Callithrix jacchus: one gene and its partners. The protein of the gene in region 4 interacts with the protein of the main gene of each other region in a pairwise test. Links are inferred from orthologs where the notes say so. Each region holds a gene or a part of one and is shown on either strand. Other genes may lie near its edges.

Region 1 (4,271 bases), on a different chromosome or scaffold from region 4:
AACCTTGTCTGAGGCTCTGCAGTTTCTCAGCTGCTGTGATGAGGAGGACGGCCCCTTGTTCTGCATAACCTCACAGCAAAGCTCTCTAAGAATGAGTTTCAAGGCCCCTGTCCCATCTTTGTCTCCCAACAAAGCTTGAGGCCACGCTGGGGTCAGAAGATGGGAGAAGCTGGAAACATCGTCTTCCTGGGCCAAACAAGGCTTCAGGAAGGGATCTGTACATCTGTTCCCCTCTCTACCTCCCCCCTTTCTGTCCAGATGGGCAGGGTGTGGGTGAGAGATGAAGGGAGAGAGGATTAAAGGAGCAGCTCCCCCTGATCAGGAAGGCTGGGCAAGGAGGAGTCCTGCGCTGTTCAGATCTGCGGTGTGCAGAAGCTCTTCAGAAAAGCGGAGTCCACTGCTTTAAAGGCCAGGAAGGTTTGCCCCCTGGAAGGCCACACCAGAAAATTATGTACCTTAGGGTAGAGTGACCCCCTCATCTGTGGGGCACAGGGCAGTGGCCACAGCTGGGGTCTCTGTCCAAATCACCTTCCCCAGGTATGCTACATCCACAAGCCTGCACTCGCCTCTGCTCCTTCCCATAGAAGTGCATGCACAGTCACATACACCAAACTCATGCAAACACACTTACATATCACATAGACAAATACAGGCAAACATCCACAAAGGCACAAAAACACCCACGTGCACATAAAATACACACATATGCAGCTCCTCAACTTCTGATGGGGTTATTTCCCAATAAACCCATTGTAAGTTGAAAATGTGATAGGTCAAAAATGCATTTAATAACCCTAGACTACCAAGCATCATAGCTTAACGTAGCTTACCTTAAACATGTTCAGAGCAATTGCATTAGCCTACAGTTTAGCAAAATTTTCTACTACGAAGCCTATTTTGTAATAAAGTGTTGGATTTTATGGAATACTGTACTGAAAGCATAGCACTTTCACACCAACATAAATCGAACCATCCTAAGTCAGGGTTAGCTGTAAATGTACACACCATCCACACACAAACTCCAAACCTCCCCAACAGTGTCCAGCTATAGGAATAGGTGTGTCCACACCCAACCACACACGCGAAACGCGGGGCCCAGCTGAGAGACGGATAAAGGAGGCTGTGGAGAAGTCAAGAGACCAGCTGGGGATCCGCTAGAACAAGCAGCCACTGTAGCACAAATAAAAACTGCAAAACAGCAGAAAGGACATTTTGGTGGGCCCCAAAATTCTCTCCTTCTGGTATCTTTACTCACCTACAATCCATTCCTCAGGAGCCAATCCCACTCAGGTTGGAGGAATTGTCTCTTCTTTAAAGCCAAAAAGAAAGAAAAGAAAGAAGGAAGGAAGGAAGGGAGGGAGGGAGGGAGGGAGGGAGGGAGGGGGAGGGAAGGGGAGGGAGGGAAAGAAAAAAAGAGAAAAAATAAGAATAAGAGGAAGGAGACAGAGAAGAAGCGGGGGGGGGGGGAAGGAAGAGGAGGGAGAGGAGAAGAAAGAGAAGAAGTGAGAAGGAAAAGGAGAAGGAGAAGGGAGGAGGAGAAGGAGAAGGAGAAGGAACACCCAGCCAGGCACAGAGCCCAGGAGTGAGTTATGTGCCATTGGGTCTTACTCTCTGACCCAACTTGAATTTATCCTATGACTTTGATCAGGCCCCCAATCTTTTCTGAGTCTCCATCTGCTCATCTAGAAAATACCCCTGTCTCCTGAGACCTTAGGGGATTGGAGAGCCACCTCTGATCCCCAGCTGGGGTTAGGGGCAACAGGGGGCATGAAGGGAAATAAATGTTTACTAAAAGAGCCAAGGACAGTAGAGGTTTAAACCCCAAACACCAGGAAGCCCCATTGGAGAAGATAAGGTAGGAGGGTCAGGGTGAGGGGAGAGGCCAGGAGGGGCAGGAGGGGCCCAGCACGCACCTCTTTCTCGGCCTTGGCCTCCTCCACTGTCACGGTGCTGTGATTCTTGTGCTCCTGGAACATGCAGAGGTAGCAGATGCAGGTCTGGTCAGTCTGGCAGAAGAGCTCCATAGTCTTGCCATGCATGGGACACTTGCGGGCCTCGAAGTCCCGGATGGGCTCCAGCAGCTGGTGGTCTCGGAAGGCGGCGCCCTCCAGGTGGGGCTTGAGGTGCAGCTCGCAGAAGGAGGCCTGGCACACCAGGCAGGACTTGACCGCCTTCTGCTTGTTGCCAATGCAGGAGTCGCACAGCACCTCCTCGGAGCTGGACTTGGCCGGGGAGAAAAGGCCCGTGTCTGCCCGGGGGTAGCTGTTCCGCCGCGCCTCCCCGGGCTCCACGATGGACACTGAGGGCTTCCGCGGCTCCGAGAAAATGGACTTGCGCAGCTCGCCTTTTTCGGCAAAGGTGACGGGCGGCTTCTTGGCGGCCCCCAGCTGGAGCCCTGCGTACGGTGACCTCTTGCCTTCCAACGAGTCCATGCTGAAGTAGTTGGAGTTCTTGTCGTCGCCCGACTCGACAAACTGGATAATGGGTCGCCGCCACTCATTGCCCGCGAACAGGGCGCTCCTCCCTTCCCCTGGCTTCAGGGCACTGCCCAAGCTCTTGCCCTCGGCTGCCTCCCCGCTGTGCCCGTTGGTGGTCTTGGCATCCTTGCCGTCGGCCTTGGTGCCATTCTCCAGGCTGCCATTGGGACCCGACGGGCTCCGAGCATCCCTGGCTTCCGGGCTCGACCCGTTGCTCCTGGAGGCATCAGCAGCTTCCATCGCAGGGGGGCTCAGCTGATCTGTTTCAGGCTTGCTGGGGTTCAGGGTAGGTGACCTTGCTGGCGGGTGTCTCGGCAGGGAGTGGGGCAGGCAGCCGCAGGGCCCAGAGACACACCTGTGGGGAGGAGGAGGGGAAGGAGGTGGAGGGGAGGAGCAGCAGGTACAAGCCTGACACAACGGGCCCAGGGAGAAGCAGGCAGCCCCGGCAGCCAGCAGAGCAGATAATTACACGGGAGCCACGCCCTGTACAGTCATCCCTAACCTGATTTTTAAAAGAAGTGTTTTTTTCTCCCCCAGCTTAATTATTTTCCACAACTCAGCAACCAGTTGGGCTGCTTCCCTCTGACGCACTTGCTTCTCATCGGGGGAGCGGGGAGCCTCTGTCTTCACAGGTGGGCAGGCTTCACTGAGCCCAGAGGCCCCTGGGGCAGAAGATGAGGTGTCTGCAGAGGCCTACGGGGCACAGGGCTGTTAACTGGGTCACACAAGTCAAATAGCCTTGTAATTTGCGGGCCTGAGTTTCAGAAGAAAGATGGTCCACCCTGGGACTGTGGAGCTGCTTTTCACCACAAGCAGGGAGGATGGGTTCCGTTTGATTTGGCTACTGGTTACTGAACCCTACTTGACAACCTCCAGGCACATTCCTAGGTACTTAATATATATGACCTCATTCGAGCATCCCTAAAACCTGTTCAATTACCCCTTTTTAATAGATGAGAAAACCGAGGCTTTAAGAAGATAACTCACTGCCTAAGTCAAGTGGCAGAGCTGGGATTTGAACCCTAAGCCTTTGAGATGCCAAAGTCCCTTCTGCAGCTGGGAGGTCATGGAGTTACCTGAATATCTCACCAGAAGATGGCTTCTGAGAGTCTGACCTATCCCAGTGGCCCTAATAAGATACATGTAGACCTTAGATTATTGCTATCAGAGCAGGCCAGACCCTTCATGGATTCAAAGGACTGAGGCACGGGAATAAGGGAATCCAAGCAATGCCAGGCCAGGTGGTTGGGTTCTCAGGGCCCAAACACTTGACTCACCTGTCTCCACACTTGCCCTTCTGTGTGACTCAGAAAACATCTGCCCATCCTCTCTGGGCCAGGCCACAGGCAACGTCCTCCAAAAAGAGGCCAGTGAAGTGTGGGATTCAGATAATCTCAGAAGTCACCGGTTCAAATATGACTATCATATAAATACAGACCTCAGGAAGAAAAGTGAGGAAAACAAATGCTATCCCCTTCCCCTCCCTGGCCCCTGCAGAACACCAGGGACCCTCAGCTCTTGTAGGATATGCCCCGAAAGTCACTTCTGGGCTCTGACCCACTGGCCTCATCCTGGGAAGCCTCCAAACCCCCAAGGAAAGGGCATGCCTCTCCAGGGCCAGGCTGGGTGGGGCAGAGAAGACAGTTGGTGAGGCTGGCATGGCAGGTTCTGGGCTATGTGGAGGGGAGTGGGTTTCCCGTCCTTCACCTCAAATCCAGGTCAAGTCAGGAAGCCCCCGCCCCTTTGGCTGACCAGACCTTTAACAAAGGTAATCCTTTGTAAAAAACAGCCCCT
Region 2 (4,116 bases), on a different chromosome or scaffold from region 4:
TTGAACAATGAGAACACATGAACACAGGGAGGGGAGCACTACACACTGGGGTCTGTTAGGGGGAATAGGGGAGGGACAGCGGAGGGTGGAGAGTTGGGGAGAGATAGCATGGGGAGAAATGCCAGATATAGGTGAAGGGGAGGAAGGCAGCAAATTACACTGCCACGTGTGTACCTATGCAACTAGCATGTTCTTCACATGTACCCCAAAACCTAAAATGCAATTAAAAAAATATATCAAGTTTGAAATGCCTATGAAATACCCCAGTGAAAATGTTTAGTAGGCAGTTGGGGTCCAGGTCTGGAAATTGAGTTTGGGAGACACCAGCAAATACTGAGCCACCAATAAGGATTAGGTTACCTGGAGATTCACAATTCCACGGAACAGAGGACCTGAGACTGACATGGCCAACATTTAGACAAGAAGTCCACTGAGGCTCAATCCAGGTCTCAGGCCAGAATTGTTAAGGCAAGAAGCTCCTTGCTCCTAAGAACAGAGCCTGGCCTGGTGGGGGCCATGCTGGTTCCCTGAGGATGACACCTGGTCAGGAATGAAGGCAACATGGACAAAGGACCCAGGTGGGAGCCTGGACCCAGAGATACTAGACCCCTGCATCTTCTGTACTTCCTCTAACACAGGTGGTCTTTCACTCCTTACCCAATTTTACCAAAAACAGAGATTAAGACAATGTGACATAACAGCATAAAGCATTAAACCACGTAACAGGGATTCCCTCCAAAAGTGAAAACCACTGTATGATTAAATAGATTCCCAACTAATCTTTGTGACCAACAGCCACTTAATCTAATTCTAAAGACTGAGTACAATATTCTTTCTACAATACATTGAACACTCATTTCAATTTATTGTATATTTTCTAACTGCACCTCTCTCTCTCTTCTGGAAGAGGGAACATTTCATCAGAAAACAAATGGGGTCTTGTGCCTGTCTGATGGTCTCACACCTGCAAAACAGCTCCAAATCCTTGGACCAGGCAGGGAAAGACCAACCCCAGGGTTCTCTGCGAACAGAAGTACTGGAAAGACTCTGCACTCAAGACAAATCCCTACATCACACCAAGGGAGGGGGACTGTTCCAACTTGGGGGAGAAGCTAAAAGAAATTGAACCTAAACTCTTCATCAGGCAGAGCAGTTTCCAGAGTGGCTTCGGCTCTCCCTAAAGGGCGAGGCCTGCAGACCCTTTGGCTCTTCTTTCTAGTGGCTTCATCTACAGGATGCACTTGGGCTGAATAAGCAGCTGTCAGGGGGAGAGAAGCAAAGTATGTCAGGACTGAATAATAACAGCTAACATTATCTGTACAGTATGTTTGCCCATACAATTCCAACCACTTTGCATAAATTAATGGATTAATTCCTCAAATTTGTAAGGTTGATATTACCATCACCCCCCATTTAGAGAGATTCAGTAGTTTACAAAATGTGTTAGTGCTACTATGTGACAGACCCTAGTTCATATGGCTCCAGGAATTGCACTCAAAGCGTTATGGGATACGACTTCATGGCCAGTAGAGAAAGGCACAACACAAAGACATGAGGCAGCTTTCCCCAACCCAGGAGCAAGACCAACACAGGACCAAGCTCTTTCCCCCTCCTCCCAGGACCTCCCCACTGCCTCCCAGGTTCAGTCCTGCGAAGAGGAGAAAGAGAGGTCTATGCTTTATCTCTCCCTGCTTTCTCAGCCTTCCCTGAGCCCATCTCCTTCCCCCACCAGCCTTGTTGCTCTGGGCCTTCTTCCTTTCACTCCCCAGATACTTCCTCCTTAAATTAAGACTTCTGAATCAACCAGTTGCTAGCTCCTCACCACCTCTGAGAGCCCGCAGGGCCTCACGCCATTCGGCTTCCATCTGAGCCCTGTAGTCTCCAAACAAGGAGTGCATCAGCAGCCTCTTCTGGGGCAGGGGAGTTCTTTTGCTGCGCAGGGCTCGGATTGCTCCAATAGCCTGCTCTTCTGCGAATAAAAATAAAGGACTAGTTAACATCTCTATACTGAGCTCCTACCACCCCACCGCAAAGGCAACAACTCCATCCCCTGCCAGCACCTGCAGGGCAGGCAGTACCAATATTCACATCCCCTAACTCTACAGAAGGGTCCCTTACTCTGTTTCAGAGTGGCTTTCTGCCTCTTGAGGCCCAGCTCCAGCTGCTCCACACACCAAGCCAATTCCTGGGCCAACTGCTGTGCCTGTGATGGATTGGGGGAAGTGGCTGTGAGAGGGCCCTGGGACACCAGAGCCCCTGGCCCCATCCCATCCCCCTCCCCGCCTTAACTTCGTGGACCCACACCACACGAGCCCGTGGACTGGCACCCGGGATTCCACCCTTCCCGACTGATATCCGCCCTTGCCTGGGCCTCAGCGCTTAGGGGGACTTCCTCTGGGGCGGGTTTCTCTGAGGCCTTCTCGCCTCCATTTGCCACAGAGGCCCTGTTCCGGGTTTTCTTCTTCTTTTGTTTTTTCGACGCTGCGCTGCCTTCATCGCCTAACGGGTGCACTTTGGAGACGGTGTTACTGCCCGTGGGTTGCCCTGGGCAGAGACAGACAGCGGAAGGATTCCGGGCGCTGGAAACCGGGTCGGGGAGCAGGTGTCTGCGGGACGCGCAGGGAGTACCCGGGCCTGGGGCCGCCGCTGCCTCCCCGGCAGGATGTCCTAGGGCCTGGAGAAAGGGGAACAGCACGAGGGTCACTTAGGGCCGCAGACGCTGCAAGGTCCCGCCACCCTCCCGTCTTCTCCACACCGCTCACCGCCATGCGCTGCAGTCGCCACCGGAACCAGGAGGCTCAGAGTCCGACGCCGAATTCCGTCCTACAGAAGCGCGCCTGTGACTCCGGGTCCCGCAGGGCGCAAGCGGGGCGGGGCGCGGAGCCGTGAGGGGCGGGGCCTCGGGGCTCCGGGAAGAGGCTGCGGTGGGTCTCGGGAGGACCCTCGTAAGCGAGTGCTCGCGGGCATTGATTATGTGCCCGGCACCTTTCCGGATAAAAGTTCAAAGCTCTACGCAAGGGTGTGTCCTCTCAAGGCTCACCTTTTGGTGGGGAGGGAAAAGCAAGTAAACAGCACATGAACAGCTGTGGCGCAGGAGGGTGGTTGGCAAAAACCTCTGGGAGCTGGGGAAGAGGCACAGGCCTGGGACCCGGTGCAGCCCGCGATGCTCGGTCGGCGAGGGTCAGGGCGCGGTGGGGTGAGAGGCTGGCGTCGCGGGACGCGGGGGCTAGGGTGAGGTCTGAGGTGGAGGGGGACGTGGAGGGGTTTCAGAAACAGACGCGGGAAGAGCTTTGGACGGGATATGGGCGTGAGGGAGGGTGGCGGCATGGGGAAGAGGGAGAGAGCCCCATCCCACCACCTGCCTTCACCAGGCTGCTTCCCTCCCACCATGTCTTACTGGAGACCTGGGGTCACATACAACACTCGACCCCCGCCAATGAAGGCCTCACAACCGAGAGATATTGCCTAGAGGCTGAGGTGAGGCAGAGTGAGGCGCCAGGAGGGTGGGTTGTGTTGCTTGAGAAGGTAAGAGTCAGCGATGTCTGATGATTCCTGTCGGGGACACAAGAGTGGAAAGTGGTGTTTCCTGAGACGGCGGGGGGTGGGGGTGGGGTGGGGGGAGTGTTAGCTGCCTCTGGTGGGTCTCAGAGGGCAAAAGTTTGGTCGTCACTGATGGTTATTTACAGTAGTTTTACACATTACCCCCAAAATTCAGCGGATTGAAAACAACACATATTACCTCATACTTTTCTGAGGGTCAGGGATCTAGCAACAGTGTGGCTAGTGGTTGTAGCTCATGGTCTCTCATGAAGCTGCTTCATGAGAGAGGAAGACTTTTTAGACGTTTTAAAACCACCACAGTTTGGTTTGTGTTTTAGTCCCAGGAGACTGGAGGGAGTGCATTCCATCTCCAAAAGGGCCTTTCTCTGCCTCGGTTGACTGATCCAAAACTGCTTCTTCCAGAAAACTTTCTCAATCCAGACATCTGCCTGAACACGGGCCTCACACCCAATTCCTTCCTCTTCCCCAGGCACCAGGTCCTATCCATTTATTTTGTAAATAATCTCCACTGCCACCCACCCCCGCCCACCGCCTGCTGCAAGCTCCCACACACAT
Region 3 (4,009 bases), on a different chromosome or scaffold from region 4:
AGAATGAGTGTGAAAGGCAAACAGTGTTAGGAAAATAGGCTTGACACCACGGCACCCCCCGGAAAGGGAGTCAGGACCCCTAGGGCTCCCTGGACCACATGGTGAGAACCACTTTTCCACCCAGCCATCCCTTCACGGGGTCCCTGGCTGTTCCACCCAGAGCTCCTGCTGTGCCTGTGCCAGGCTGCTGCCAAGCCCTGAAGATCTGGGTCCTGCTCTGCCAGGGCAGGGTCCTCCTCCTCACCCCTTGGGTCGCTGTGTCTCAGAGCCATCCTTTTCCTTTCTGCTGTGATTGCCTTCATCACTGCTGTGCCGTCTCTTCTTCCCCAGATGCTTCTGCATCTCCCGCAGAGGGTCCAGGCGGCTCTTTATTTTCTCATCTGGGGCTGGGCCAGGCGGGGGACCCCCTCGCTCTGGTGGGAGCTGGTACCAAGGGGGTTGAGTCTGGGCCTCGGCTGCACTCTGGCCCAGGTATGTCAGGATGCCCAGAGCTTTCTCTTGTCTCTCCTGAGGGGTCAGGAAATAAAAGAGATGGGATATAATCTTTCAGGGTGTCAGGTTTATCTCCCTGACACAGGTATCTAAGGCCTATGGTGAAGCAGCTGTGCCAGGTGCTGGGGAGGGAAGAGACCAGCAGAGGCCAAGCTCCTGCCCTGGGGTGACGATAGCAGGGACAGTCACAGAAAGCAGAGGAAGGAGGGGATGGGGTGGAGCTGCCTGAATGTTCAGAGGCAGGCATCTTTGCAGGGAGCAAGCAAAGCAAGAGGACCCGTGGGTGGGGTCAGCAAGTCCAGAGACAGCAGGTGAGGAACAGGAGCTTTTACACTCGATCTTAGCCAAAAGGCAAGAAGTGATTGATTCACTTTTTTTTTTTTTTTTTTCCTGAGATTGAGTCTCACTCTTGCCACCCAGGCTAGAGTGCTGTGGCACGATCTCAGCTCACTGCAGCTTCCACCTCCTGGGTTCAAGCGATTCTCCTGCCTCAGCCTCTGGGACTAAAGGTGCATGCCACCATGCTCAGCTAACTTTTTTTGTATTTTTAGTAGAGATACCATGTTGACCAGGCTGGTCTTGAACTCCTGACCGCGGGTGATCTGCCCACCTCAGTTTCCCAAAATGCTGGGATTACAGGCATGAGCCACCACCAAGCTGATTTAGATTTTTAAAAGCTCATCAGGTTTGAGACCCCTCCAGTTTGGAGACCTGAGCAGTTCACCTAGCAGCTGGGGATCTCGAGCATCTACCTCCAAGCCCTGAGGGCACCCAAATGGCAACAGCCACCACTTCTGAGTGTGCTTTGGTATGGTTCTAAATTCTGAGTGTTCACTCTTGTTTAGCCTTAGTCACAACCAATGGCTAAAGTGTCCCTCCCCCCAGCTCCATTCATGTCTCTGATGAAGTAGATAAGGCCAGCTTACTTTCTCCTGTCGCTTTTCTTCCTCGTGCTCTTTATTGCCTCTGATCAGGCCTTTCCCCTCCTCCAGCAGCTCTCGAAACAGGTCCACAGGGCCAGAACTTGGGGCTCCCACCTCTGCTGCCTCAAGCTCAGGCAGTGAGTTCTGATGTCTGGCTTTCTTCCGTAGGAATTCTGTACGGGCCTGGGGAGAAAGTTACAGGCAAGACATTAAAAACCTAAAGGTAATTCAAGAACTTTTAAGTCTGGTGCGCACCACAGGAAACAGCAGTCCAGGGTGCTGGGTTTGTAAGAAAGGGGGCACCTGTCCTAGCAGGGGTGAGGGTAGGCAGATAAGGCAACACCTGGGTTTTGTAAACTGCCTTTCAAATAGTAAACCACACATCAAGGATGGCTGGGAGGAGGTCCCTGGCCTAAACCAAAGGGGTTCCTAACCTCAAGTGAGACAATTAAAACAGCTATAAAGGTAGAACAAACTGCATTAGGTCAGATGATCTGGATTCCAGGCATGGCTCCAAGTCATTACCCCAAGTCCATTGATGAAGCCCGGTCTCCCACCTTCAGGACAAAGCTCTCAGCAGCCTACTGAGATTCTAAAAACCCAGACTACCTCCCTCCCAGTGTGGAGGATCAGACTGGCTAAGGAACTGAAAGTTAGGTGTACACCAAACAGATTTAAGGAGCTATACATAAAGCCCATGTTTGTGTGTGTGTCTGGGGGTGGTGCAGGGAAAGGGCTCGCCCAAGGGGGTGGAGACTTCCCCTCCCTTGACGCCATCTCACTTCGTGCCACGGAGATGACAATGCCTCTTTAAGAAAGAACGGTGCTTAAGGGGGATTCTGGAAGTCAGGCGTTCTGCATGCAGTTAGCATACAGTAACTGCTCAATAAATAGACTGTGCAAGCCAACTAGAAAGTGATCCGAATTTCCTCAAACTGTCCAAGGAATCCTGAATTCGGTAAACATTTATGCTTCTCTTTTGTGCTAGACACTGCTCTAGCCATGTGAAATACATCAGTGGGGGGAAACAAGACGAGGGGGCGATCAAGGGAGATTTCATGCAAGTGGGCACAACGTTTGCCGAGCAACGTTTCGGAAAAGAGGTCCGCGCCGGGTCACGAATTACATACGGGGCACACGGCGCCTGCGCAACGCGTCCACTTCCGGCCCCCTACCATGGCGCCTGCGCGCTGGGCCCCGGAGTTCCGCCCGGCCGGTTCCCAGGCTTACCTCCTGCTGAGCCAGCAGCACCCTCCGCTCACGCTCCTTCTCTTCCTCCCGGGCCTGGGCCTCGTCACGCCGCACGCGGGCAACATTGTCCTTGTTCCGGACGTGCCAGCTCTTCTTGGGCAAGATATTCATGGCGTCGTAGCAGTCCACGGACTGGCACGCCCGCCTCTCTGCACTTCCGATTGGCGAGAGAATGCCCCTTCCCTCTTGTCCCTACTTCGACCACAGATTGGTTCTTAACTCATTGGTACGGCCCCCTGGCCTGTAACGACAGGTGATTGGCTAAGACGCCCTTTATCTCAGCGAATGCCAGGCTTTTGGCGCGTGGTATCCCCTAGCAACCGCTTTTCACATATCCGAGCCAATCGCAAGTTGGCCCTCCCCTAATGCCAGATTCGGCCGCCGATTGGCCAACACAACCATCAAGTCTCCTTGCGGAAGAGCACTTCGAACGGCCACACATTCCCATGCATTTGATTGGCTCCCGCCCTGATGTAGCCCTGCCCCCACCTTCAGGACGCAGATTTCAAAGCGCGCTCAGTCACCTCGGCTGTGTTTATTCATAGAAGAAAGATCACCCGAGAGTCTGGGACGTGGCGGCGAGGGTCTCTGGAAACCTCCAGATCCTAGAGCTGGAAGAGCGTGGGGTCTTCTCTAGTTCTCCTAGTTTTACAGATGTGACCTAGGCTTACAATTGGCCTGGAGTCTGAAGGTGGGACATGGGCTGCAGGGGTCAAAAAGCCGGGTGGGTGGAGCTCAGCGCCACAGCGCGCCGTGCGAGGAAGACTTTGTTCTGCGCCTCCTGAGGCAAAGAGAGGTGGAGGTCAGACAGCCCTCTCCCCCAATGCCTTTCAATGTCCCCCACGGGGTCCCTCTCAGGGACCCGCCTGGCTCACCGTCTCTCTCTGACGTTTGAGCTGAGAGATGAGACGACCGTAGGAGTTAGCCAGAGCCACAGTGTACGCCATCAGGATGCTGGAGGAGACACGAACAGAAGCCACTCCTGACACGCTCCTCCATTCTATACAAACCCCTGGCTCCTTCAAAGCCAGGATGTCATCTACAAGGACTTCAGTCTCCCAGCCCAGGAGTCCTAAGTCCCACCCTCCTCCTCCTCCTCCTTTGGACCCTAGGCCTCCTCCCACCCCGAGCCTCTCCTCTCTCCGACGCAGGTGGTGGCCCCCAGATCACGTGCATTCAAACCCAGACCCAGAAGTCTGGGCAAACTCACCTGGAAATCAGCAGAAGGGGTACAGCAAAAGCCTGAGTCCCCAGGAAGAAGAGGAAGTTCTGGGCGGTCTCAGGGAGGCTGGAAATAGACTCAGGGATCTGGGCCCAGATGGACGACTGCCCCCGGAATGGAC
Region 4 (4,151 bases):
TTACCATTGTAAACTCCCCCACTTATAAATCTGACTCAGCATCTAGTTCAATCCCTGGTACATAACAGGTGCTTAACAAATTTTTATAAATGAATGAATGTTAAATGAATGTTTACAATGATTAGAATTCTAGTGGGTGGATGAGGCCCATAGAAAACTCTTGAGACCAATGTGGCAGGATTCTCAGTGAAAAACTAAATCTGTGTGCAGGATGCTTTCCTTCTCTAGCAAACAGAGGTGCTGGAAAGGCTTTCACCATCCATAAGAAGGGAATTGTTTTGGAGGGCAATGCTATAACACCTCTTCCCCTCCATTGATCACATAAAATATCCAGTTAGAAAATAGGAATCAGCCTTCTTGTGCTCTGAAGACATGAAGGATACTGGTGATAATCCATCTAGCATCCATTCTCCTCCCTTACAGGTCTCGGTTTTATTCAAACAGACATGCCTCCACCTTGCAACTCATGTGACTCAAAGAGCACTGACACCACTGCCAATTCCAATTGTCATAGCTCCTTTTCACTTCCGGAACCCAGGCTTAAGCTTCTGTACATTTCCCAGGCAGTTACTAATAAAGAGGCAGAGTGTGTGCCTGTGTGACCCAATTGGCTTTAAAAACCAGGAGGAAGGGTTTTAGATGAAAAAGAAAGTATGTGGTCCTGATTTCTCCAAGTAAACACCTGGAAAATCACGTCAGTATGAATTTGAAGTCTACCCTTTTCTACAACAGAGCAGAGAGACTATAGCAACTGGGTCTGTGGTAACTTGCTGAGCCACTGAATTAATCAAAGTCTACCTTGCCTCTGGTCTTTCTGTTATGCGAGATAATCAACTTCCTTATTTTTTAGCAAGACAATTTAACTCAGATTTTATATCACATGCCTCCAAAATAATCATAACTGACCCAAATATGTTTGGCCTCTACAATCAGGGCAGCCATGCTCAGAAGAGTGCGCAAGGGCACCCTATTGTCTTGGAAAAGGCAAGCACTGAGACTATTGCCTTTTGAGAACTGAAAATGCCAATCTGCTAATCATCCTTAGAGTGAATATCCAGGTATGAAAAGCAAAGGGGGTGGGCATAGGATGGGGCAGGGACACGTTTGCCTGGGTCAAACACAGAGATCAAAATTAAAAGTGGTCCCATCTGCCTGGAAGAAGGCTAAGAAGGGTCTGAAAGTATTGAGCTCCAAGAGCCCTTGGACCTTCTGGTGAGACACCCTTGGCTGATGCCCTTGATGGGACATCCCTGTTGGCTGCTGTGGCACCTGCATCCACTACAGACCTACATTATTTGACTAATTTGAAAAGACAGGTTGTCAAGAGCGACACCATGTGGCTATAATACACAATGACAATGGTGGACAGCTACAGCCCGAGAGGCCTGACGCTTCATTGAGAAGTGGAAAATGCTGAATGGAAAGATGAAATGTGATCAACAAACATTTAATGCGGTCCTGCAAATGTCAGCTGCTACAGTGCTCAGCCAGGTCTGGAACATCGAGAATATGGTGATCCGTACTCTGGTAAGAGCTCGCAGTCGCGGCGGAGTAGAGGGCGAGAGAGAGGGCAGTCTCTGGTGGGTAGGTAACCCAGGCTTCACTTTCACCCACGACCACAAGTATTTTTTACGTCTTCCGGACAAATGAGGCTCCATGTAAGTGACAGGGGAACCTAGGGAGGGCTATGAAATGCGCCAGCGTGCCAGCGACCAGCGCAGCGCAACGAGGCCTACTTTTGCGGTAAGCCCCGCCCCTAGCAGCTGAGCCAACCGGAGGGCGCGGGGCGGACCCAGCCTCCCCGTGAGGCCGGAGAGAATCGCTTGCGGGCTTTCGCAGGCGGAGAAAGGGCCGGCCCTCGATGCGCTAGGGCTTGATTTGCCGCCCTCCTCCGGCGGCGGCAACGGTCGCGGAGGCGGCGCCTCACCTAGCTGCGCGGGACCTCACCTAGCTGTGCCAGCCTTAGTCGGGGAGCTGCTGGTGGGAGGCGGCGACTGAGGAAGGTGAGTGGCACTCGGGGCTCTCAGAGGCGCCGGCATGAGCCCCTTTCCTGGGGCACCCCGGGCATGACATCACCTAGGCCTAAAAGTGGTCAGACTGACCCTTGTCAGGGAGGAGCCGCCTGGGACAGGGTCGCGCCTATTAAAAAAATCCTTGCGTAAGGGTTTGGGGATCGGACAAACCTAGTCCCAGCTCCCCAGCCTTTGTGTTCTTTGGGTTTTCCTTTAATGTCTCAGCGCCTCCGAGTCTTTATTTGTATACTAAAGCTGGTAATTCTTGCCTTACAAGGTGGTTGTGAGGGTTAAATGAGGCAATAAGAGTAAAACTCAGAACCGCACCGGGCGCAGACTCGATTTGGGATAAGCTGTAGGCAATTACTCCATCCCCCAAAATCGCCCCGGGCTGAAGCGCTCGGTTTGTGTCAAACAACTGCGAAGGTTGTTTAGGGAGTGAGGACTCGGAGCAGAAGGGGGCTGTTAGTCGAATAGCGCAGGTGTCACTTTCTGCGGTTTATTAAGCTCATTCCGGATTCAGAAGACCTCTGACTTTATACAGAGCCTAATAGGAGTCTTTCCAGGTGAAAAATGTCAGAAGGTGAAGACACCCGTAACAGAGAGACCAATCAGAGTTTCCTGCCACTGTGTTTTTCGATCATAGTAATATTAAACAGGCCTGGCGCGGTGGTTCACCCCTGTAATTCTAGCACTTTGGGAGGCCGAGGTGGGCGGATCACCTGAGGTCAGGAGTTCGAGAACAGCCTGGCCACCATGGTGATACCCTGTCTCTACTAAAAATACAAAAATTAGCCGGGCCTGGTGTTGCGCGCCTGTAATCCCAGCTACTCAGGAGTCTAAGGCAGGAGAATCGCTTGAACTTGGGAGGCGGAGGTTGCAGTGAGCCGAGATCACGCCACTGCACTCCAGCCTGGGTGACAGAGCGAGACTCCGTGACAAACTCACTCTCTCTCTCTCTCTCTCTCTCTGTGTATATATATATAAACTGTGCCGGCATTACCCATATTGGTTTCAATCTTCTGCTTGAGTTTTGTACTTTAAATATTGCCAAGTAGACTCAGGCCTCCCCTGCCCCACCTTTTGGGGAAGAGGTGACTGACTTAGCGTCTTCCCAACAGCTTTTGCTTTAAAGCAAGGTTCTGCCCCTTTGATGTCACCTCTCCTGGGAGAGAATGATTTGGTTGAGATGACATCCCATTTTGCTTCTTTTTCCTATTAGGGGTAGGTTCAGCTCTTTCTTAGGAACATTAAACAGCAGGTTGCCATATTTTTTTAGAATAGAAGCTTTTGTATTTAATAAGCAGTGGAGACTTCGAAAGGGTTACACGTTTTCATTTATTTTTTCTTTTTTTTTGTACGCATTCATTTATTGTAGTAATTTTAAGTATATACTTTTGAAGACGCTTAAAGATTTTGGTGTGATTCAGTTGAGAAGGAACAGTTATTGGCCATGGTTGTCAGCTCCCCTCCCCCACCCCAAATATGAAAAAAATAATTAAATTTTAAGGTGTGGAGCACGTTACAAGGGGCTTCAGACCTATAAAGGGCAATTTGGCTGAAAGACTTGGGAAACCTAGAAAGTGCCAGAAGATACAATTATGTTTTTGCTTTTCTATGCTTGGCTTACTATGCCATGTACAAACCAACTCCTATCCTTCAACTCCTACCGCGCCCCCCCCCCCCCGAGTCTTATTTTAAGTGTATTAACGACAGTAATTAGAGCTATAGCTTCTGTGTTGGCCCTATAAAGCATTTGGTCTCTTCCTGTGACTTTAAAAGTTCTAGACCTGTGTCCTGTCACAGCCTATAGTGGGGAAAATGTTGCTGCAAACTGTTGGCCCATTTATTTCACAGAATGGGTCTCTGAAAAGGAGGGCTTGGTCATAGGTGCAAATGAGTAGTTTTCTTCCTGGGTTTGCTTTTGTGATCAGTGGTAGTTTGTCTGAGGATGCTTCATTTTAGTACCCTTGCAAATAAATATCCTACCTGTGAAGCCAGAAGTCAGAATTGACGATAGATGATGATAGATTTGGATAGCCAGCTAAATGCCTCAACAAGGTGGGGAGAGAAGAGAAGGGGAGGGGCATATGATGGTGAGCTGGGAAGGCCATTAGCAGTTATTTCAGTTGTGCCTGC
Region 5 (4,106 bases), on a different chromosome or scaffold from region 4:
CATACCCAGGGCAGAAAATCTGGGAGTTAAGTGAGAATATAGGCAGGTGAATTCTACCACCCAGGGATGATGCGGCCTTTGGAGCTTTTCTCCCATGGTAAACAAGCAGCAGTTCCAGGAGCCAAGGATGATCTGCCAATGAGACGCCTCATCTTCTTTCTGTCCCCATGCCTTTGGACAATCGGGTGGACTTCAGCTTTTTCCAGTTAAAACACCCGCAGACTGCTGGTGGCGTGCATGCAGCTTTGCCTGAATTTCCAAGTGGGTTCTCTGTATATACCTTGTTGTACCACAATTATATGTATAAGCAGTTACACGTGCTTTGGGGAATGAGTCAGGGAATAAAACTCCCAAACAAAACACAAACATTTCTGGGTAGCAATTGATTCCTATCCCCAGACCAAAGCCAAAATGCAGACCCAGCAAGGCCAGATGCCCTTGCCATGGGAACCCAACCCTCTCCTCCAGGAAGAGTCAACACATTAAAAATAAATGGGGTTTTTATTGTGTGTCCACGAAAACAAAGTCATGGTGGCCTTTGGTTAATCCCCTCAAGATGACAACTAAAAGGAGGCATGCATGACAACAACAATAACCATGTTCTCTGATGGAGCGAGGCCTTGCCCTCCTGGACCCTAAGGGTTACAGGCAAGCAGGGCCAGGAGGCTAGAGAGGAAAGCACACCCAGGTCCCCCAGATCATGGAGGGCTTGAGTCTGCTGCCTCCCTGGTGGGACAAGGCAGGGGAGCAAGCACTACTCTGGGCTGGGCCAGCGCCCCCCAAGCGAGAACACACACAAAAGCCCCCACCCCCACCCCCACCCCCACCCTCACTGCTAAGGCCATCAGCCAGGACTTCCCCAGAAGAGCTGGCTCTGAAGCCCAGACCCTCAGGGCTCCCTCCAGAAGGGGTTGCCTTCCTCCGCCTGCATGAAGTAGTAAACAAAGAAGAGGAAGATCGCAAAGACCAGGAAAAGCAGCAGCTGGCCCCAGAGCGGGACCTGGCGATCATGGCCAAGCCCAGCCCCAGGAGCATGCTTTTCTGGCCGGATGGCTCGGCGGGTAAGCCATGAAGGGGAAGATGAAGATGAGGACACAGAAGAGGTGGAGGAGGAGGTAGGATAATAGGATAGGCCCAGGGAGCTCCTGGAGGCTGAAACAGGGCGGTAGTGCGCGATGCTCTGGTAGGCACTGTCCCGGCCGTACATGGGACGTTCCCTGAGGCAAAAGAGGGGAGCAGGTGGGCCAGGAGCCTGGGTGCAGAACCAGTCCCTGTTCCTGGGCCTGCCCTCTACGTACCTATCCTTGCACTCCTCTTCAGAAGACAAAAGATTGTCATCACGCACCTGCAGAAGAGAGTCAGGGTGAGTGGACCGACTGGCAGGGCCACCATGGCCCTGCCACATCCCTCAGTCCAAACTTCCCCAGCTGGTGCCCTCTGACCTTTGGTTAGAGGCCAGGGACCCACACCCTCCCGAATGGCTCTTGGTGTTCAGTCTTTTGTTTGTGGGGTCTTGTCACTTGTGCTCATGCCCTGCTATTCCCTTTTGCCCCCAGGAGTCTCAGGAAAAGCTTGAGCCTAGATTGCAGACCAGGGTGCTCTAGTCACAGTTCTGATGGCTCCCCAAAGTAGGGACCTGGCCAAACAGGCGTCTGCTGAGCCAGTCTCCCCAGAAGCACAGAAGCCACCATTTGTATCCAGTGGCCCCCTGGATTTATCCAAACACAGCCGCCATCCCCTAGATTGTACTCAAGTACAGGGCACCTGCCAGCCAGCTCACCTGGTGGTGGAAAGTGTCAGCATCTGGGAGTGAAGTCGCAGACTGGCGGAAGCCCCTGGACTGGCCCGCAGAGTCGGGCTCCCCATAAGTCCTGGTAGTTAAGTAGCTCTCTTCATAGTAGTCGTCATTGTAGCCTTGGGAAGGGGGGCAGCGGTAGCAGAGGGGGCATCGGTGTGCCCCACCTGGCCTGCTGGCCCTAATCTGAATCTCTTTCGGGACCTGTGACAGTTTCTCCCTCCTAAGGCTGCTGGAGTGGTTGGGGCTGAGGTCTCAGGTCCTCCCTGTGAGCGGGGTCCCTGACGCAGTCAGGTGAACGTGCCAGCGTGCCCACCCCACCCCTGCCTTACCCTTGCTCTGGTAGAGTAAGGCGTCCTCTTTCTTGGGAAGATCATACATATCTGAATCCACTGACGGCGAATTCAAGTCTGGATTGAAGGGAGGCGACAGAACTGTTTGCCCCCCAGGCTTCCCTCCCCTCTCCCCGGTGCCGCTCTCGACCGGCGCCCCTGCCACACCCTCGCGACCCCGATCTCCCCGCATCCCAGGCCCGGTCCCCACAAGCGAGGCTCTCACCAGAGAAGCGATAGGAGAAGGAGGCGGCGGACGAGCTGGGGGGCGAGAGCCGCCGCCTCTGGGTCTCGTACTCGAAGATCTTCTTCTCGTAAAGCTTACGAGTAGACCCTGGCCGGACACGAGGCGGTCAGGGCCACAAGCCGGGGAAGGCGCGCGGGTAGGGTGGCGGGGAGGGCGCGGGGCAGAGCGCGGGGAGGGGGCCCGGGGGCAGGTCCTGCCCGCCGCCGCGTACCGACAACTGGCCCGTGAGGTATGTTGTACTGGCGCAGCACGGCGGCCAGCTCGGTATCCGAAAGACCCGCGTAGTCGTCCATGGCGGGTGCGGGCGCGGGCGGAAGCCGGGCCCCTGCCAAAACCCGCCGAGCAGCGGCTGCCGAGGATCACGGCGGGGGCGGCACGAGCGCCTCGGGAGCGATCGCGCTCGCGTCACAGCCAAATCACTGTCTCGTCACGGCCTCGGGCTCCGCAGGCTGCGCGCGCTGTGCGGGGAGGGGCTTAACGGCGGGAGCAGCAGGCGCAGAACGGCCGGGCCTTGGGAGCTGGGAGGCTGGGGCAGTGAGTCCAAACGTCATAAACGCACGGATTGGCTAGCGGCGGACGGGGCGGGGCCCGCGCCGAGAGTCAGGACAGTGGGAATCAGTCTCGCGGTGGGAGTGGGCGGGGCCGCAAGCCCAACGTCACAAACACACGGATTGGCTAGCGATGGAGGGGGCGGGGCCCGCGCGGGAGCGGAGCAGAAGGTGTCGCGGTGGGAGCGAGCGGGGTCGCGAGTCCGTACGTCACTAACGCCCGGAGCTGTTGGGGGTGGGGCCCGCACGGGAGTCTGGGCGGTGCGGCTGGGAGCCTAGACGTCACCTTGAGGCGTGCGTGAGCCAGTCGGTAGAGAGGGGCGGGGCCTGTGTGTCTAACACCCGGCATCTGCCGGCCGGGAAGTGAGAGCGGCCTAAGTGGGCGCTAGCGGTGGCTCTGGTCCCTAAGTCACTTGGGCTCCCCACCGTCCCAGCACATCCCTTCTCTACGCCCTGGTCCCCTTTCCCGTGGCCCCAGGGCGTAGGATTCCCCGGCCGCATCCGGGTCGGCCGCCCCAGCAGCGGCGGGAAGGGTCTGAACCCTAAGGGAGCGCCGGCCCCGGGCTAGGCACTACTGAGGGAGCTTTGTGTGCGCATCACCTGGGAAGCGGCTGTGGGGCAAGGCCCGCGCCTACGCGGTCCTCGCAGACCCCCTGCCACGGGCCCACCTTCCCAGTCTGCAGGGCTGTCGCCCGTGCACATATGCTCGCTGCTTCCCACCGCCTCCCTCCTTCCTTTTCTCCTACCTCGCTCCACCCGGGAGGAAATGGGGCACTGGGCCAGGAGGCCGCCGGCACTCCAGGAGCAAGCAGCCTTCGAAGGGGCCCGGGCAAGCCAGCGAGCACGCCAGTGAGCGCGGACAGAGGGCGCTGTGCGATGTGTGCAGAGATGACGTGTGTCCAGCCTAACGCTTCATGTCGTTCATTCACCCGGGGCACTGGCGGGAGCTGAAGTGGGGCTTCCTCTTCTGTCGGAATGGCCCCTGAGCCCAGCATAGCCCGGCAGGGGGCAGACGTGGGTGTCGAGCTATGGAAGGGCTGCCAAGGCCTGCTCAGGAGCCTGGACTGTGGCTAGGATTCCCAGGACCTTGATCAGATAAGGGCTGCCCTACGGAGAATGGAGAAGAGGTGATATTCTTTTTTTTTTTTTTTTTTTTTTTTTTTGAGAGAGTCTCGCTCTGTCAC

The links. The genes of interacting proteins can lie anywhere in the genome.
Region 1: the proteins of CEP70 (region 4) and TRIM29 interact in binary tests that used the Homo sapiens proteins (3 or more experiments, as listed by UniProt). The two-hybrid records come from large-scale screens. The link is inferred for Callithrix jacchus from reciprocal best matches to the Homo sapiens genes CEP70 and TRIM29.
Region 2: the proteins of CEP70 (region 4) and C16H8orf33 interact in binary tests that used the Homo sapiens proteins (3 or more experiments, as listed by UniProt). The link is inferred for Callithrix jacchus from reciprocal best matches to the Homo sapiens genes CEP70 and C8orf33.
Region 3: the proteins of CEP70 (region 4) and LENG1 interact in binary tests that used the Homo sapiens proteins (3 or more experiments, as listed by UniProt). The two-hybrid records come from large-scale screens. The link is inferred for Callithrix jacchus from reciprocal best matches to the Homo sapiens genes CEP70 and LENG1.
Region 5: the proteins of CEP70 (region 4) and EMD interact in binary tests that used the Homo sapiens proteins (3 or more experiments, as listed by UniProt). The two-hybrid records come from large-scale screens. The link is inferred for Callithrix jacchus from reciprocal best matches to the Homo sapiens genes CEP70 and EMD.

Annotation. Positions count from the first base shown.
Region 1 is NC_133511.1:19,784,295-19,788,565, forward strand, and holds the start of TRIM29 (tripartite motif-containing protein 29), read right to left. Parts: upstream 2,801-4,271; 5' UTR 2,718-2,800; coding exon 1,914-2,717; intron 1-1,913.
Region 2 is NC_133517.1:52,665,663-52,669,778, forward strand, and holds the start of C16H8orf33 (UPF0488 protein C8orf33 homolog), read right to left. Parts: upstream 2,801-4,116; 5' UTR 2,769-2,800; coding exon 2,763-2,768; intron 2,675-2,762; coding exon 2,366-2,674; intron 2,204-2,365; coding exon 2,119-2,203; intron 1,970-2,118; coding exon 1,823-1,969; intron 1,259-1,822; coding exon 1,129-1,258; coding exon of another isoform or gene 1,113-1,128; exon of another isoform or gene 1-1,112.
Region 3 is NC_133523.1:47,340,471-47,344,479, forward strand, and holds the start of LENG1 (leukocyte receptor cluster member 1), read right to left. Parts: upstream 2,801-4,009; 5' UTR 2,778-2,800; coding exon 2,646-2,777; intron 1,599-2,645; coding exon 1,419-1,598; intron 508-1,418; coding exon 245-507; intron 1-244. Other genes in the region: voltage-gated chloride channel TMC4, read right to left, coding at 3,379-3,447, 3,542-3,620, 3,877-4,009.
Region 4 is NC_133518.1:45,772,877-45,777,027, forward strand, and holds the start of CEP70 (centrosomal protein of 70 kDa), read left to right. Parts: upstream 1-1,351; 5' UTR 1,352-1,527; intron 1,528-1,841; exon of another isoform or gene 1,842-2,003; intron 2,004-4,151.
Region 5 is NC_133524.1:150,171,788-150,175,893, reverse strand, and holds EMD (emerin), read right to left. Parts: upstream 2,801-4,106; 5' UTR 2,668-2,800; coding exon 2,586-2,667; intron 2,462-2,585; coding exon 2,354-2,461; intron 2,206-2,353; coding exon 2,128-2,205; intron 1,915-2,127; coding exon 1,781-1,914; intron 1,346-1,780; coding exon 1,299-1,345; intron 1,218-1,298; coding exon 890-1,217; 3' UTR 483-889; downstream 1-482. UniProt on the Homo sapiens protein: Stabilizes and promotes the formation of a nuclear actin cortical network. Stimulates actin polymerization in vitro by binding and stabilizing the pointed end of growing filaments. Inhibits beta-catenin activity by preventing its accumulation in the nucleus.